Anolis sagrei: one gene and its partner. The protein of the gene in region 1 binds, or shares a complex with, the protein of each later gene. Links are inferred from orthologs where the notes say so. Each region holds a gene or a part of one and is shown in the gene's direction. Other genes may lie near its edges.

The links.
Region 2: the proteins of AAK1 (region 1) and PDLIM5 are in contact, whole or in part, in a crystal structure (PDB 9F6S), measured with the Homo sapiens proteins. The link is inferred for Anolis sagrei from reciprocal best matches to the Homo sapiens genes AAK1 and PDLIM5. Residues at the interface, in NP_055726.4 of Homo sapiens: Asp956, Leu958, Ile959, Asp960, Leu961; in NP_006448.5 of Homo sapiens: Ala12, Pro13, Trp14, Gly15, Phe16, Arg17, Leu18, Phe24, Gln67, Ile70, Lys71.

The regions. Positions count from the first base shown.
Region 1 is NC_090027.1:20,520,054-20,527,395, reverse strand, and holds the start of AAK1 (AP2-associated protein kinase 1), read left to right. Parts: upstream 1-4,280; 5' UTR 4,281-4,701; intron 4,702-7,342.
Region 2 is NC_090025.1:23,610,567-23,618,072, forward strand, and holds the start of PDLIM5 (PDZ and LIM domain protein 5), read left to right. Parts: upstream 1-4,482; 5' UTR 4,483-4,587; intron 4,588-7,506. UniProt on the Homo sapiens protein: May play an important role in the heart development by scaffolding PKC to the Z-disk region. May play a role in the regulation of cardiomyocyte expansion. Isoforms lacking the LIM domains may negatively modulate the scaffolding activity of isoform 1.

The DNA.
Region 1 (7,342 bases):
CTTTAGATGCATCATCGGTGGGGGTCATTATGCTCTCCAGCTGCAGGATGAATTACAACTCCCACCATGGTGGGTCAGTCCCATCAAATCCCTCCAGTACATTCAGTTCTTCCTGGGGTTCTGTGTGCCAAGTTAGGTCCCAGTCCATCATTGATAGGGTGCAGAGTGCTCTTTGACTGCAGGTGAACTATAAATCCCAGTACAACTAACAAATGTCAAAGCCCAAAATCCACTAGCATTCACATTTGGGCATATTGGGTATGCATGCCAAATTTGCTACAGTAAGTCGTAGCAGGATCAAGTGTGTGCTAAAGAAAAATCTTATGATGTTAATTATTATGTGCAGCTGGTAATGTAGGTCAGTCAACAACCTCCATGAACCTTTTACATCTACTGAATTGGACATGGCTCTCAACAAATGTAAGAATGGCAAAGCAGCTGGCTTGGATGATCTACGGATGGAACAAATCAAGAACTTTGGTCGACGGACATTTAACCAACTACAAAGTTTGCAAAATCTGTGTGGTTTTTTTTCTTTTTCTTTTTAATCTGTGTGTTTGTTTTGTTCTGTTAGAATTGTAACACAATGGTATGGTTTCTGATAACACGATAAATAAACATGTTTGGGCCACACCTGGTGGGGTATAACTGTATGGATTTTAGAATACAGTTTGGAGAAGCAATACGCTACTCCGAGGAAGAGAAGCAATATGCTGTAATGCTGCTATGCTCAACAGCGATGCTCTTTGCTATGGTGGAATAGCTATTTACTCAAGGTTTATGTTTTGTTCTCTCATTTGAATGAAGACGAAGAAGCCTTGTTCTGTGTTACTTACAAGGACTATGTAAATTTGTTGTACTGTTTGATTTTGTATGCAACACTGCAAGTTTATGCCTCTGCTGATAAGTTTTTCTGTTCCTTTTTCCTCTTGCCTGTGTGTCTTATGCATGGGACTTGGCTAAAATCCGCTTCTGCGCAGCAAAATTTTGTGCAGATCCATTGTTGTTTGCAATCACAGTGCTCTCTGGATGTAGGTGAACTAGAATTCCTATAATGACAAATTCCTTCCAAAAATCTCCTGCATTTTCTCGTGAAACCCTCTTATAGTGGCGAGGCAACGGGGATGTTGGGAGGGGAGAGGCTGGCTACTACCACATCACATTGTCGACTCATATTATTCTCAGTCGCAGATACCTGATTTAGTTTTGACATAAAATGAGCACATTTTTTTCTCTATCTATACACATAATAAAAGTTGAAATATGTATGTGGCAAGAGAGTCCACTTACACAAAGTTCTACAAGCAGCTATAGTTCCCAGCCATCAGGAGACACAAAAGGCCCTCCCTCAAACATTGAAAGTTATAGTGAGCACCATGAACATGTCTAAATGCCTGCCAATGTTCTCCACAGACACCAGACCGCCCACCCCCCAGTGAAAGCTTTCATAAGGGGACAATTTCAACCTAGATTTTTAGTGAATGAGGGTTTTTGAGTGGAAAAAAACAACCCATGCAATTCCTGACGTGGCCACTGGGGGCGACGAAGGACCGTCCATAGGCAAAGGGTGGTTGCATGAAGAAGCTGAATCTCAAAGGAGAGCAATTCCCGATGTGGCCACTGGGGGCGGCAAAAGGTAGGTTGTTGTATATAAATATTATGACTATTGTTATTGTTACTACATTTGTTATTACCGGTAATTTATTATTATTATTATTATTATTATTATTATTATTATTATTATTAATTATTTGCTGACACAAAACCACAGTATGCCACAGCAAATGAGATCTGTATGCTGGATTTCGTATCACAAAATCACAAGTTGAACATTTCCCAAGCGTCTAGGACTGTGTGATGCATTTTTGAATGATACGCGCAGATCTAAGTAAGGTGGCCTTTTGCAGTTAACAGATCGTGATTTTGTTACATTTTTAGAGTTTCCAAATGCCCTTTGAGATCTTTTGGCACGTCACCCAGTGTGCCGATGACCACTGGGACCACCTGGGCTGGTTTATGCCAGAGCCTTTGCAGTTCGATTTTGAGGTCCTGATAACGGCTGAGTTTTTTCCTGTTGTTTTTCCTCAATGTGACTGTCACCCGTATGGCGACATCAATAATCCAAACTTTTTTTCTTTTCCACAATTGTGATGTCTGGTGTATTGTGTTCCAAAACTTTGTCAGTCTGGATCTGAAAGTCCCACAGTATTTTTGCGTGTTCATTTTCCACTCCTGTTGCAGGTTTATGATCCCACCAATTCTTTACTACTAGTAGGTGGTACTTGTGACATAAGTTCCAGTGAATCATGCCAGTGAATTATTATTATTATTATTATTATTAGTAGTAGTATTACTATTTGAAACACAACAAGATGAGTCCACAGCAAACAAGGTCACTCTGCTGGCTGTTGTATTGGATCACATGTCGGACACTTCCCAAGTGTTTAGGACTGTGTGATGTATTGGCGAATAACGCGTGCAGATCCGAGCAGGGTGGCCTTTTGCAGAGACTTACAGAAACAAGCTCCTGCTTGTTCATTTACAGAGAAAATTTCCTCCACAAACAGGTACAGCTCCCACCACTCAGGAGACACTCATGGCCTTCCCTCTAATGACATTGCAGGTTCATGGGGAGCACCAAGAACATGTCCAAGAACTCTGCCAGTGTCCTCCACCAACCCCATACTGCCTACCACACAAGTGACCGCATCTCTGTGTACAAACCCACACGATCTCTTCATTCATCTGGAGAGGCCCTGCTCACGATCCCACCTGCATCGCAAGCGTGATTGGTGGGGACGAGGGATAGGGCTTTTTTGGTGGTGGCCCCTCGACTCTGGAACTCCCTCCCTAAGGACATCAGGCAGGCCCCATCACTAGCAATCTTTAGGAGGAGCTTGAAAACATGGTTGTTCCAGTGCGCCTTCCCAGAATAAGGAAACTCCTAGCATTATGTCCCAACGCACTTTATCAGAGATCCAAGATATCTGCATGCCCCCCCCCCCCACCAAACACTCCACCTGGTCATGCCCAGCACTTTTAATTTTTAATTATTACATTTGGCCCTGCCATTGATTTTAATTGTGTCGTTGTGTGCTGTTAATGTTATTGTTTTGTTTTTTAGTTATTTTGCTGTTTGTTGTTGCTGTTGTTTTTACTATTGTATTTGGGCTCAGCCTCTTGTAAGCTGCACTGAGTCCTTTGGGAGATGGTAGCGGGGTACAAATAAAGGTTTATTATTATTATTATTATTATTATTATTATTTCATAAGGGGACTGTTTCATCCTAGATTTTATGTGCTTCCTCCACCACAGACACCCGTGTTTATTATTATTATTATTATTAAATTATTATTAAATCTATTATTATTTCTATTATTATTATACATACAACAAGATGAGTCCACAAGCAGACAAGATCACTCTGCTGGCTGTTGTATTGGATCACACGTTGGACATTTCCCAAGTGTCTAGGACTATGTGATGTATCGGCGAATAATGCGTGCAGATCCCAGTAAGGTGGCCTTTTGTAGCTGGCAGATGGTAATTTTGTCAGCCCTGATTGTGTTTAAGTGCAGGCCAAGATCTTCAGGCACTGCACCCAGTGTGCCAATCACCACTGGGACCACCCTGACTGGCTTGTGCCAGAGTCTTTGTAGTTCGATCTTTAAATCCTCATGTGTCAGTTTTTCCAGTTGTTTCTCTTCAATCCTGCTGTCACCTGGGATTGCAACATTATTAAAGTTATTATTATTATTATTATTATCATTATAATTAGAGATTTCTGGTCTGCTTTGGGTCTTGGTTCCTAAGATCAAAGCAGGAAATAAACCTATTATATAATAATAATAACCTATTAGTATTGTTATCACCATTAAGCTTTGGGCCCAGTTCCTTTTTGGTGGAGGCTGGGACTCCAAAACCGGCTCTAGCCAACAGATGACACATAATCCTGCCATTCAGAGCACACCACTCCATTGCGCCTGCGCAGCACTATGTCGCGCGCGACGCCTATCGGGGCTTGTAGTCCCCCGCAGAGCCAAACGACTCGGAGTCCGGGAACCCCTCCTCCCAGGATGCAACGCGTCGCGAACGTCTTATTTTCCGGGGGGGAGGGGTGGGAAAAAAGGAGTGAAAACCAAATAAGTTGTTGTTCTTCTCATTATTATTATTATCATATTCTAGGGATAATTATCATTCTTCTGCTTTGTGTCGCCATGACTGAAAAGATTTTGATGAAAGGGCTTGTATGAGGGGAAAGGCGGCGCTTTCCGGGCAGGAAGGGGTGAAAGGGGCGGGGCTTGAGGTAGCCCTTCCTACTTGGCTCCGCCCCCTCGCTCCGGCTCTTCCTAGCAGCGGGGCCCCTCCCGCCGCCCGGCTGGCTCTGTGGAAGCGGCGAGAGCGTCTCTTCCTCCTCCTCCTCCTCCTCAGTGAGGCCTTCCTCACCGGCGGAGCCTGCCTTTCCTGAAGCCTGAGGGGGAAAAGGAAGCAGGCAGGCGGGCACGAGGAGCAGGAGAAGCCGGGGACTGGGCCTCCTCCTTGCCTGCCTTCCTTCCTTCCTTCATTCGGCATGGTCTCCTCCCCGCCGGCCCCGGTCGCTGAGCGAGAAGCCGAGGCGGAAGTGGCGGCGGAAGGGCCTGGGAGCGATGCCGGAAGGAGGCCGCCCAGGCGGGCAGCGCAGCCCAGCAGCCCCCCCAGCAGGTGAGCAGGAAGCCAGGGAGCCCCAAGGCATCATCCCTATCTATCTACTTACCTACCTATCTATCTGTCATTTACCTGTTTATCTATACCTATCTATCTATCATTTATCTATTTATTTACCTACCTATCTACCTACCAGTCTATCTACCTACCTAACATTTACCTGTTTATCTACCAACCTATTTATTTACCTATCTTTTAATCATTTACCTATTTATCTATCTACCTACCTACCTATCTATTTATCATTTACCTATTTATCTATTTATCTACCCACCTATTTATTTACCTATCTGTTTATCATTTACATATTTATTTATCAATCTATTTATCTACCTACTTACCTACCTACTACTTATCTATTTATCATTTAACTATTTATCTATTTTATCTACCCACCTACCTATTTACCTTTCTATCTATTTATCCTTTACCTATTTATCTATTTATCTACCCACCTATCTATTTATTTACCTATCTATTTATCTACCTACTTACCTAGCTTTTTACCTATTTATCTACCCACCTACCTATCTATTTGCCTATCTATTTATCATTTACCTATTTATCTACCTACTTACCTATCTATTTACCATTTACCTATTTACCTATTTATCTACCCACCTACCCATCTTAATTTCACAAAGACTATGCATGTAGACTGTTGCACACATCTATTTACCTATCTATCTATCATTTACCTATTTATCTACCCACCTACTTATCTATTTACCTATCTATCTATTTACCATTTACCTATTTATCTATTTGTCTACCCACCTACCTATCTATTTGCCTGTCTATCTATTTATCATTTACCTATTTATCTATTTATCTACGCACCTACTTATCTATTTACCTATCTATTTACCATTTACCTATTTATCTATTTGTCTACCCACCTACCTATCTATTTGCCTGTCTGTCTATTTATCATTTACCTATTTATCTATTTATCTACCTACTTACCTATCTATTTATCATTTACCTATTTATCTACCCACCTACATATTTATTATTTACCTATTTACCTATTTATCTATTTATCTATCTATCTATCTATCTATCTATTTATCTATTTACCTATCCACCCACATGTATATATACACACATAAATAGATATATACATATACATGCATGCATATACACACATAAACATGCAAATACATACAGGGAGGGGGAGACCTCCTAATACATATCTATCCAGCTATTCACAGATACATATGCATACATACATACATACATACACACACACACATAAGCACATAATTTACCAATCCACCCATATGTATATATACATACATAAATGCATGCATATACACACATAAACGTGCATATACATACAGGCAGGGGGAGACCCCTAATACATATCTATCTAGCTAGCTATTCACACATATATACATACACATAAGAACATAATTTACCTACCCACCCACATGTATATATACATACATAAATATGTATGCATGCATATACACACATAAACATACCAATCCACCCACATGTACATATATATAAATAGATATATACACACGCATGCATGCATATACACACATAAACATACAAATACATATAGGCGAGACCCCCTAATACATATCTATGTATCTATCAATTCATACATACATATACATACATACACATATGCATATTAATATATTCATATACAAACCTGTACATATACAAACCTGTACATGTATACATTGTAATATAACAGTACTAATATTAATAATGTTGTAATATAATATGTTAGACTACAACTAATTAAATAGTACAATATATTATATAATACGAATGGTGTCCTATACTAGTAGTGTTATAGTAGTGTTATATACATATATACATATACATATATACATATATACATATATACATATATATATATATATATATATATATATATATATATAGTGGTATACGGCACAATGTAATACTAGATAATATAATAATTATATATAATATGACTAATATTTCAGTATAGTACAGTAAAATAATATATAATACTAACATTGTGCTATGCTAAGAACACAATATGTTGTGTATACAGATAATAGTAATAATATAATATAATACAATATAATAATAATATTGTAACAGTACTAATATATAAAATATACTGTTAACATATAATAATGTATAATGGTAATGCTGTTTTATTATTAGTACATTAGTACATTTTAAGTTGTATTGTAATATTTTTAATTGTGAGCCATGTTGAGTCTCCATATGGAGAGATAAAGTGGGATGTAAATAAATAAATATACACACATGCACATAAATCTATGCATACATATACCTACATATTTATATGCACATAAATATATACATACACATACACACATGTATACATACATGTATAAATACATACACACCTCTATACATACAGATCCTTTCACACTACATAAATACATATAAACCTATACATAAATACATATATATACATATACAAATAAATACACATTCAGTCACATGCGCACATATATGTGTGTGTGTGTGTGTGTGTATAACACATCTATCCAGAGCTCCCCTATCCCGTCTCCACCATTTTCCTGTCATTCCTGTATCCCTCCTGTTCCTTTCTTCCAGGGCCGCCCCAAGGAAAAAGAGAGATTTGTCTAAGAAGCTCTTCCTTCCTTCCTTCCTT
Region 2 (7,506 bases), on another chromosome or scaffold:
GCAAAAGGGAGAAACGTGCCAAGAGGAAGACACATCAAGCCAACCCTGACCAGGACTGTCTTCCACCTGCAAACTAATGCCCTCACTGTGGAAGAAGGAGCCTCCGGTGGTGCAATGGGTTAAAGCCTTTTGCTGGCAGGACTGCTGACCGAAAGGTTGGCGGTTCAAATCCAGGGAACAGGGCGAGCTCCCATCTGTCAGCTCCAGCTTTTCATGTGGGGACATGAGAGAAGCCTCCCACAGGATGGTAAAACATCCAGGTGTCCCCTAGGCAACGTCATTGAAGATGGCCAATTCTCTCACACCAGAAACGACTTGCAGTTTCTCAAGTCGCTCCTGACACACACACATACACACACACAAAACTGTGGAAGAACATGTGGATCAAGAATATGGCTCCACAGTCATCTACGGACCCACTGCTAAGACACTACACTTGGAAGGCCATCATATTCAGACAACGATTGCTTAAGTAAGCTTTATGATATCTTTATTCTTCTCTGCCAAAGAGTGCTGATGCCCCACCAAGCCCCTGCTCCTAGGACTCCATAGTACTGATCCATTACAGTTAAAGTGGTGTCAGATAGCATTAATTCTATAGTGTAGATTCACCTAATGATGCCTACTAGGGCAAACGGTAGGCGAGAATGGCAAATCCCTATATGATTTGCAATACATTGGTAAAGAGTTCATAACTGTTGAACAACAGTATCAACATAATTGTCTTGTCTAAATGAAGATGCTGACATTATGCCCTAAATAAATCCAGTTGCTGGTCTTAAATAAGAGTTATGAATGCCACTCCATTGAATAACTTGCTTTTAATTTATGGCGCCCCGAAGGCAGCCCTATTACTGGAGTTTCTTGGCAAGATTTGTGCAGAGGAAGTTTCCCTACTTTTTCCTTGGAGGTTAGAGCGAATGTGACTTGTCCAAGGTCAACAAAAGTGCAACTACACTGTAGCATAAATATACAGCAAATATATCAAACTTTGGCCCTCTGGGTGTTTTGGACTTCAACTCGCACAATTAAGCAACTGAGAGGGAAAAGGAAAGGACCCGAGGCTGTTAGGAATTGTGGGAATTATAGTCCAAAACACCAGGAGGGCCAAAGTTTGCCCATGCACATTAGGTTATTTGTTTATTTTATTTTTATTTATCTTGTCAGAAGTTAACTAAAGGTACAGTTGTAATGTATTTAAAACACAAACAAAGTTAAAAAAAACTGGCATTATACTAAATGTCCTTTGACTAGTAGCTGGCCACTTGGAGTGCCTTTGGTGTTGCTATAAGAAGGTCCTCCACAGTGCATGTGGTAGGGCTCAGGCTGCATTGTAGTAAGTGGTCTGTGGTTTGCACTTTTCCACACTCTTATGTCATGGATTCCACTTTGTGGCCCCATTTCTGCATCTTGTGGTGCCAGAGAGCAGTCTGTTCAGCTCCTTACAAGTCACTCAGTCCACTTTTTGCCCAGGAGGGAGTTTCTCATCCAGCCTCAGCTACTGATTGAGTTTCCGAGTTTTATCCTGCCACTTTTAGACTCTCACTTGCTGAGGTGTTCCTGCGAGTATCTCTGTAGATCTTTGAAAACCATTTCTTGATTTGAGGCATTGGCTTGTTAGCTGATATCTTAACAGGGGATGGGCCGGAAATGTCACTGCCTTGGTCCTTTCATTACTGGCTGCTACTTCCCAGTGGGTGTGAGGTGGTTCAATACCAACTAAACAGTATAATTTCTGCAGTGGTGTGGGGCATAGATATCCTGTGATAATGTGGCATGTCTCATTAAGAGCCAAATCCACTGTTTTAACATGGTGCGATATGTTCCACACTGTGCATGTGTAATCAGTAGCAGAGTAGCAAAGCAAAAGAGCAGATGTCTTCACTGTGTCTGATAGTTATCCCCAGGTTGTTCCAGTCAGGTTTTGTATGATATTTCAGAAAATAAGAGTTAAAGTTCCAAAAAGAATAAATGTCAACCTAGAGTTTGCAAAGACCAAGCCTGAAAGACACTGAAGGACCCAGTGGAAGAGCCAGATGACTCCATAACCCTGTGATGGTGAACCTATGACACGTGTGTCAGCACTGACACGTGTAGCCATTTTCAATGACACGCATAGCCATTTTCTATGACATGCGGTCGGATGCAGCGACATACAGAGAAGTATGGGGCTGCATCCCAAAAAGGACGTTTCATCCTTGGCTCCTGCACGGCCAGGTGCAGGAGCCAAGGATGAAACATTTGCTGTAGTGTAGTGTAGACACTCTGTGCTGGAAGTCTGTAGGCCAAAACAACAGAACTCTGGCACAGAGCATCTAGTTCTGGGACTTCTGTTTAGGCCGTTAGGGGATCATTGACTTCACTTCCAGCTGGTGAAGCAGGGAGCAGCTTTTAGCACCCTGAAAAATATAGCAATGGCTTTACTGACAATTTTTCCCTCTATGTACTTTTGTGAGACTTTATTCTCAGCGTTAAATAATATCAAAACCAACAAAAGAAACAGATTGACAGATGAAATTAGTAGCTCTTGCTTGGGCTTGAAATGTTCAAAACACCAACCTTCATTGGAAGATTTAGCCAATGAAATTCAGCAACAAAAAAGTCACTAGTAGGGAGGTTAGTTAAATAATTGCCCCTCCCCTCACTTATCTTAGTTCACAGCACCCCATACGTTAAATAATATCAAGATCAACAGAAGAAACAGAATGACGGATGAACAAAGAAATCACTAAGCAGTTAAGTTAAATAATTAATTTTTGGTTTATTAAATATAGTTATATAAGTGATAGTATGATAGCTGGGTCCTGAGCTCTGAGTTGTTACGGAGATGCCGCAAAGGCAGCTGTGAATAAGGGAAGGGGGGAGGGAGTGAGAGCGGGGAGAGTGAAGGAAGGATAAAAAGGAGGGGACGCTTAGGGTAAAGGTTAGGGCAAGGTTTAGGGTTAGGGTTACGGGTTACAGTTAGGTAAGGGTTATGGTTAGACTATGATTTAGGGTTACGGTTAGGGTTTGAGTAAGAGGTTAGGCTTAGGCTTACAGTATGGTTCAGGGTTAGGGTTAGGGTTTCACCATTAAAGAACTCTTACATTCTTTCTATATTATCTGTCTCCAGCCTGACTTACATTAGCTAAGTCTCTCTTGCGCAAACAGCACTTCTGAAGGAGTTTTCCGGGCTGTAGAAGATTTTTGGCCGTTCCAGAACCCGCGGCCATAAGGAGGTTTGCTTCTTACGGTTATAATTTTTAAAATTACCCCTCTATTCTGCTTTGGTTAGACTACACCTGGAATATTGTGTCCAATTCTGAGCACAACAATTCAAGAGAGATATTGACAAGCTGGAATGTGTCCAGAGGAGGGTGACTAAAATGATCAAGGGTCTGGAGAACAAGCCCTATGAGGAGCGGCTTAAGGAGTTGGGCATGTTTAGCCTGAAGAAGAGAAGGCTGAGAGGAGATATGATAGCCGTGTATAAATATGTGAGAGGAAGCCACAGGGAGGAGGGAGCAAGCTTGTTTTCTGCTTCCATGGAGATTAGGACAAGGAACAATGGCTTCAAACTACAAGAGAGGAGATTCCATCTGAACATGAGGAAGAACTTCCTGACTGTGAGAGCCGTTCAGCAGTGGAACTCTCTGCCCCGGAGTGTGGTGGAGGCTCCTTCTTTGGAAGCTTTTAAACAGAGGCTGGATGGCCATCTGTCAGGGGTGATTTGAATGCAATATTCCTGCTTCTTGGCAGGGGGTTGGTCTGGATGGCCCATGAGGTCTCTTCCAACTCTTTGATTCTATGAGAGATGCGGCATCTTCATAACGTGCGATGCTTCTGGACCCAGCTATCGAAAAGGCCTTACTGGTGCATTATTTAAACTGTTATGTTTATTCATATCATGATCTGATCAGCATACTCAATATATCCCATATGCATGGTGGTATTGGGGTAATGATACAAAAGGTTTGCTAGGCTAGACCCTCTTTCACTCAGACTCAGCCCCCCTCCCTGAAACCCCCTCTGAAAAAAACTCAGCCCCCCCCCCCCCCCGAATTGAAATCCTGGCTACGGGTCTGACCGTTATATATTACAATTATCCATTTTTGTTATTTAAACTATAAAAATTGTGAAATTATTGGTTGTTTTTTTTCCTCTGGAAGAGAATGCTTAGTTTTGCTTAGTTTTTTGGCGAACTTTGACACACCAAGCTCAAAAGGTTGCCCATCCCTGCCATAATCAGTTCTAATTCTGTCTGCTCATTTCCTCTTTCTCACTTCCTTAAAGAAAAGCATTTGACAGTTAAAGCGGTATCAAAGTGTTCTCCTATTCTGCAGTGTGGATAGTCTTGCAAGGCAGGGAATGCTTGCTGAGCCTTGGCTTCTTCCAAAGGCGCATCTGGAAGGTTCCCCTCTGTCTCCCCTTCTCTCTCTCTCTCTCTCTTCTCTCTTCCCTCCCCTTCCCTCCCCTTCCCTCCTTGGCTGCCCAGGGGAGGAGCCCAGGCAAAGGGGCGGAAGCGCAAACAAGAGCCCAAGGCCAGTCCCTGTGTGCTTGGAGTTTGCGCTCTGAGGCGCAAAAGGAGCCGCGTCCTGTGCCGAGACGGTAAGCAGGCAAAGCGGGAGGAGGCAGGGAAGGGAGGGAGGAAGGAAGGGGCTTGGCAGGGAAAGAAAGAGGGGCTTCGCGGGCCGTCAAAGCGAACCTCCTTCTGGGCTAAAGGCTGGAGCGGAGGCGGAGAAGGGCTCCCGACAGAAGAAGAGGCGCCTCGGAAACTTTCCTCCGGCGTTTTGCTGTCCTGGGCTGGCAGGTTAAGTAAGAGGCAGAGCGTCTTCCGAGGGGTCATCAAAGCCACAGTCTGGGAGAGCAGCCTGCAAAGATCTGAGGGGGCCTCTGCACTGTAAAACTAATCCAGTTCCAGACCTCCTTAACTGCCGTGGCTCAAGGCAAAGGGGCCGTGGAAGCTATAGTTCTACGCCAGTGTTTCTCAACCTTCCTAATGCCTCAACCCCTTCATACAGTTCCTCCTGCTGTGGTGACCCCCAACCATAAGAATATTTTCATTGCTACTTCATAACTGTCATTTTGCTACTGTTTATGAATCGTAATGTAAATATCTGATATGCAGGATGTATTTTCATTCACTGGGCCAAATTTGGCATAAATACCCAATACCCCAAATTTGAATGCTGGTGGGGTTGGGGTGGGGATTGATTTTGTCACTTGGGAGTTTATTTGCAGGGATTTATAGTTAACTCACACTCAAAAAGCATTCTGAACTCCACCAAGGATGGAATTGAACCAATCTTGGCACACCTTGAATTTTGGAGTTGTAGTTCACCTACATCCAGAGAGCACTGTGGACTCAAACCATGATTGATCTGGACCAAACTTGGCACGAATACTCAATGTGCCCAAATGTGAACACTGGTGGAGTTTGAGGAAAATAAACCTTAACATTTGGGTGGGATGAATACAATCAAAGAGCATGCTGAACCTCACCAACGATTGAATTGGGCCAAACTTCTCACACAGAACCCCCATGACCAACAGAAAATATTTTTTTCTGATGGTCTTTGGTGACACCCTTGTGACCCCCCCCCCCCCCCGGGGTCCCAACCCTCAGGTTGAGATACACTGTTCTACAAGGTCTTTAGCTTCCTCTGCCAAAGAGTGTTTGTGCTACAGCCAGGCATGGGCAAACTTCAGCTCTTCAGGTGTTTTGGACTCCAACTCCCACAATTCATAACACCCAGCAGTTAGAAACTGTGGGAGTTGGAGTTCTAAATACCAGGAGGGCCGAAGTTTGTCCATGCCTGTGCTATGTCTAACTTCAAATCCCCAGGGTTCCGTAGCATTGAGCCAGGGCAACTCAAGTGGTTGTCAAACTGCATTCATTCTACTGTGTAGCATATGCACCACCAGAGAAAGAAATTAATAGCAGAAGTTTTTGGAGAGGAAAGTTAGCGGAAAACTTCTGCTGCAGGTTCAACATCCCTTATCTAAAATGTTTGGGACTGGGAGTGTTTTGAATTTTGGAGTTTTATTTTTGGATATTGGAATGCTTTCGTTGGAGTACGGGATCCAAAGCTAAACACAACATTTATTTATATTTCATATATGCCTAATATACGTAGCCTGCAGGCCATTTTACACACAATATTTTTAAACGCAATTATGCATGAATCAAAGTTTGTTTGCATTGAACCACCAGAAAGCAAAGTTGTTGCTTTCGCAGGCATCACGTGGACAATTGTGGATTTTAGAGTATTTTGGATTTTGGAACTTGAATTGGGCCAAACTTCTCAGACAGGGTTGTTCCGCTTGTATCATCTTCTTTCTCTCAGGGTGCATTTACACCAGGCATGGGTATAGCTGCTTAAGTGGCTGAGGGAGAAAAGGAAGGGTCCTGAGGCTGTTAGGAATTGTGGGAGTTGAAGTCCAAAACATTTGGAGGGCCAAAGTTTGCACATGCCTGATCTACACAGTCAAGTGAATTCAGTTTGACTTCCATGGCTCATTATGCTGGAATCATGGTGCTGTACCATAGTTTTATAAAGTTTTTCAAGGTCTATAGCAGATCCCTCTCCCAACTCCCAGGAGCATATAGCCCTGAGCCATGACAGCTATAGTGATGCCAGACTGCATTCATTCCACAGTGTGGATGCACATTTAGTCTCCAAGGGGTTATAAGACCCCTTTGCATGTAATCAAAGTGTTTGGCTTTTGCTGGCTCTAACCTTTACTTAAGGAGGGGTCGAAAGAAATAACCCTACAGCACTGTGTTCTCATTTTCCACCTTGAGTTAACCCTCTTTTGAGTTCTGTTTGGAATTCATTTCTTCTCTGATTTTATACACACACATCAACACTTCACTTTCTCCTAAAAGCAAGAAAGTCTTTTAAAGAGGAAAGGCACAAACAGTCTCATCCTAGAGCCGACCTGAGTCCCTTCCCTTTCCCTTTTTATTATTTAAGGAACTGAGAAAGAGAAAATAAGTGCAGCTTTGTTTTATTACAGCATTTCTCAACCTGGGGGTCAGGTATTTCAGTATTTTCTGTTAGTCATGGGAGTCCTGTGTGCTAAGTTTGGTTCAGTTCCATCATTGGTGGAGTTCAGAATACTTTTTGATTGTAGGTTGACTTTAAATCCCAGCAACTACAACTCCCAAATGACAACATCAATCCCCCAACCCCAATATGGGCATATTGGGAATTTGTGCCAAATTTGGTCCAGTGAATGAAAATACATCCTGCACAGCAGATATTTCCATTACTATTGATAACAGTAGCAAAATGACAGTTATGAAGTAGCAACTAAAATAATTTTATGGTTGGGAGTCACCATAACATGAGGAACTGTATTAAGGAGTTGTGGTATTAGGAAGTTGGGAACCACTGTTTTATTTAGAACTGGGAAGCCCTGACTATTAGGTTGGCTCCTTTTTGTACCTTTCTGGCTCCTACTCTGCAAATTTTCATTTCTCGGCAGGACTATTAACTGTTTTGCAACCTTTCAGTTTGAAAT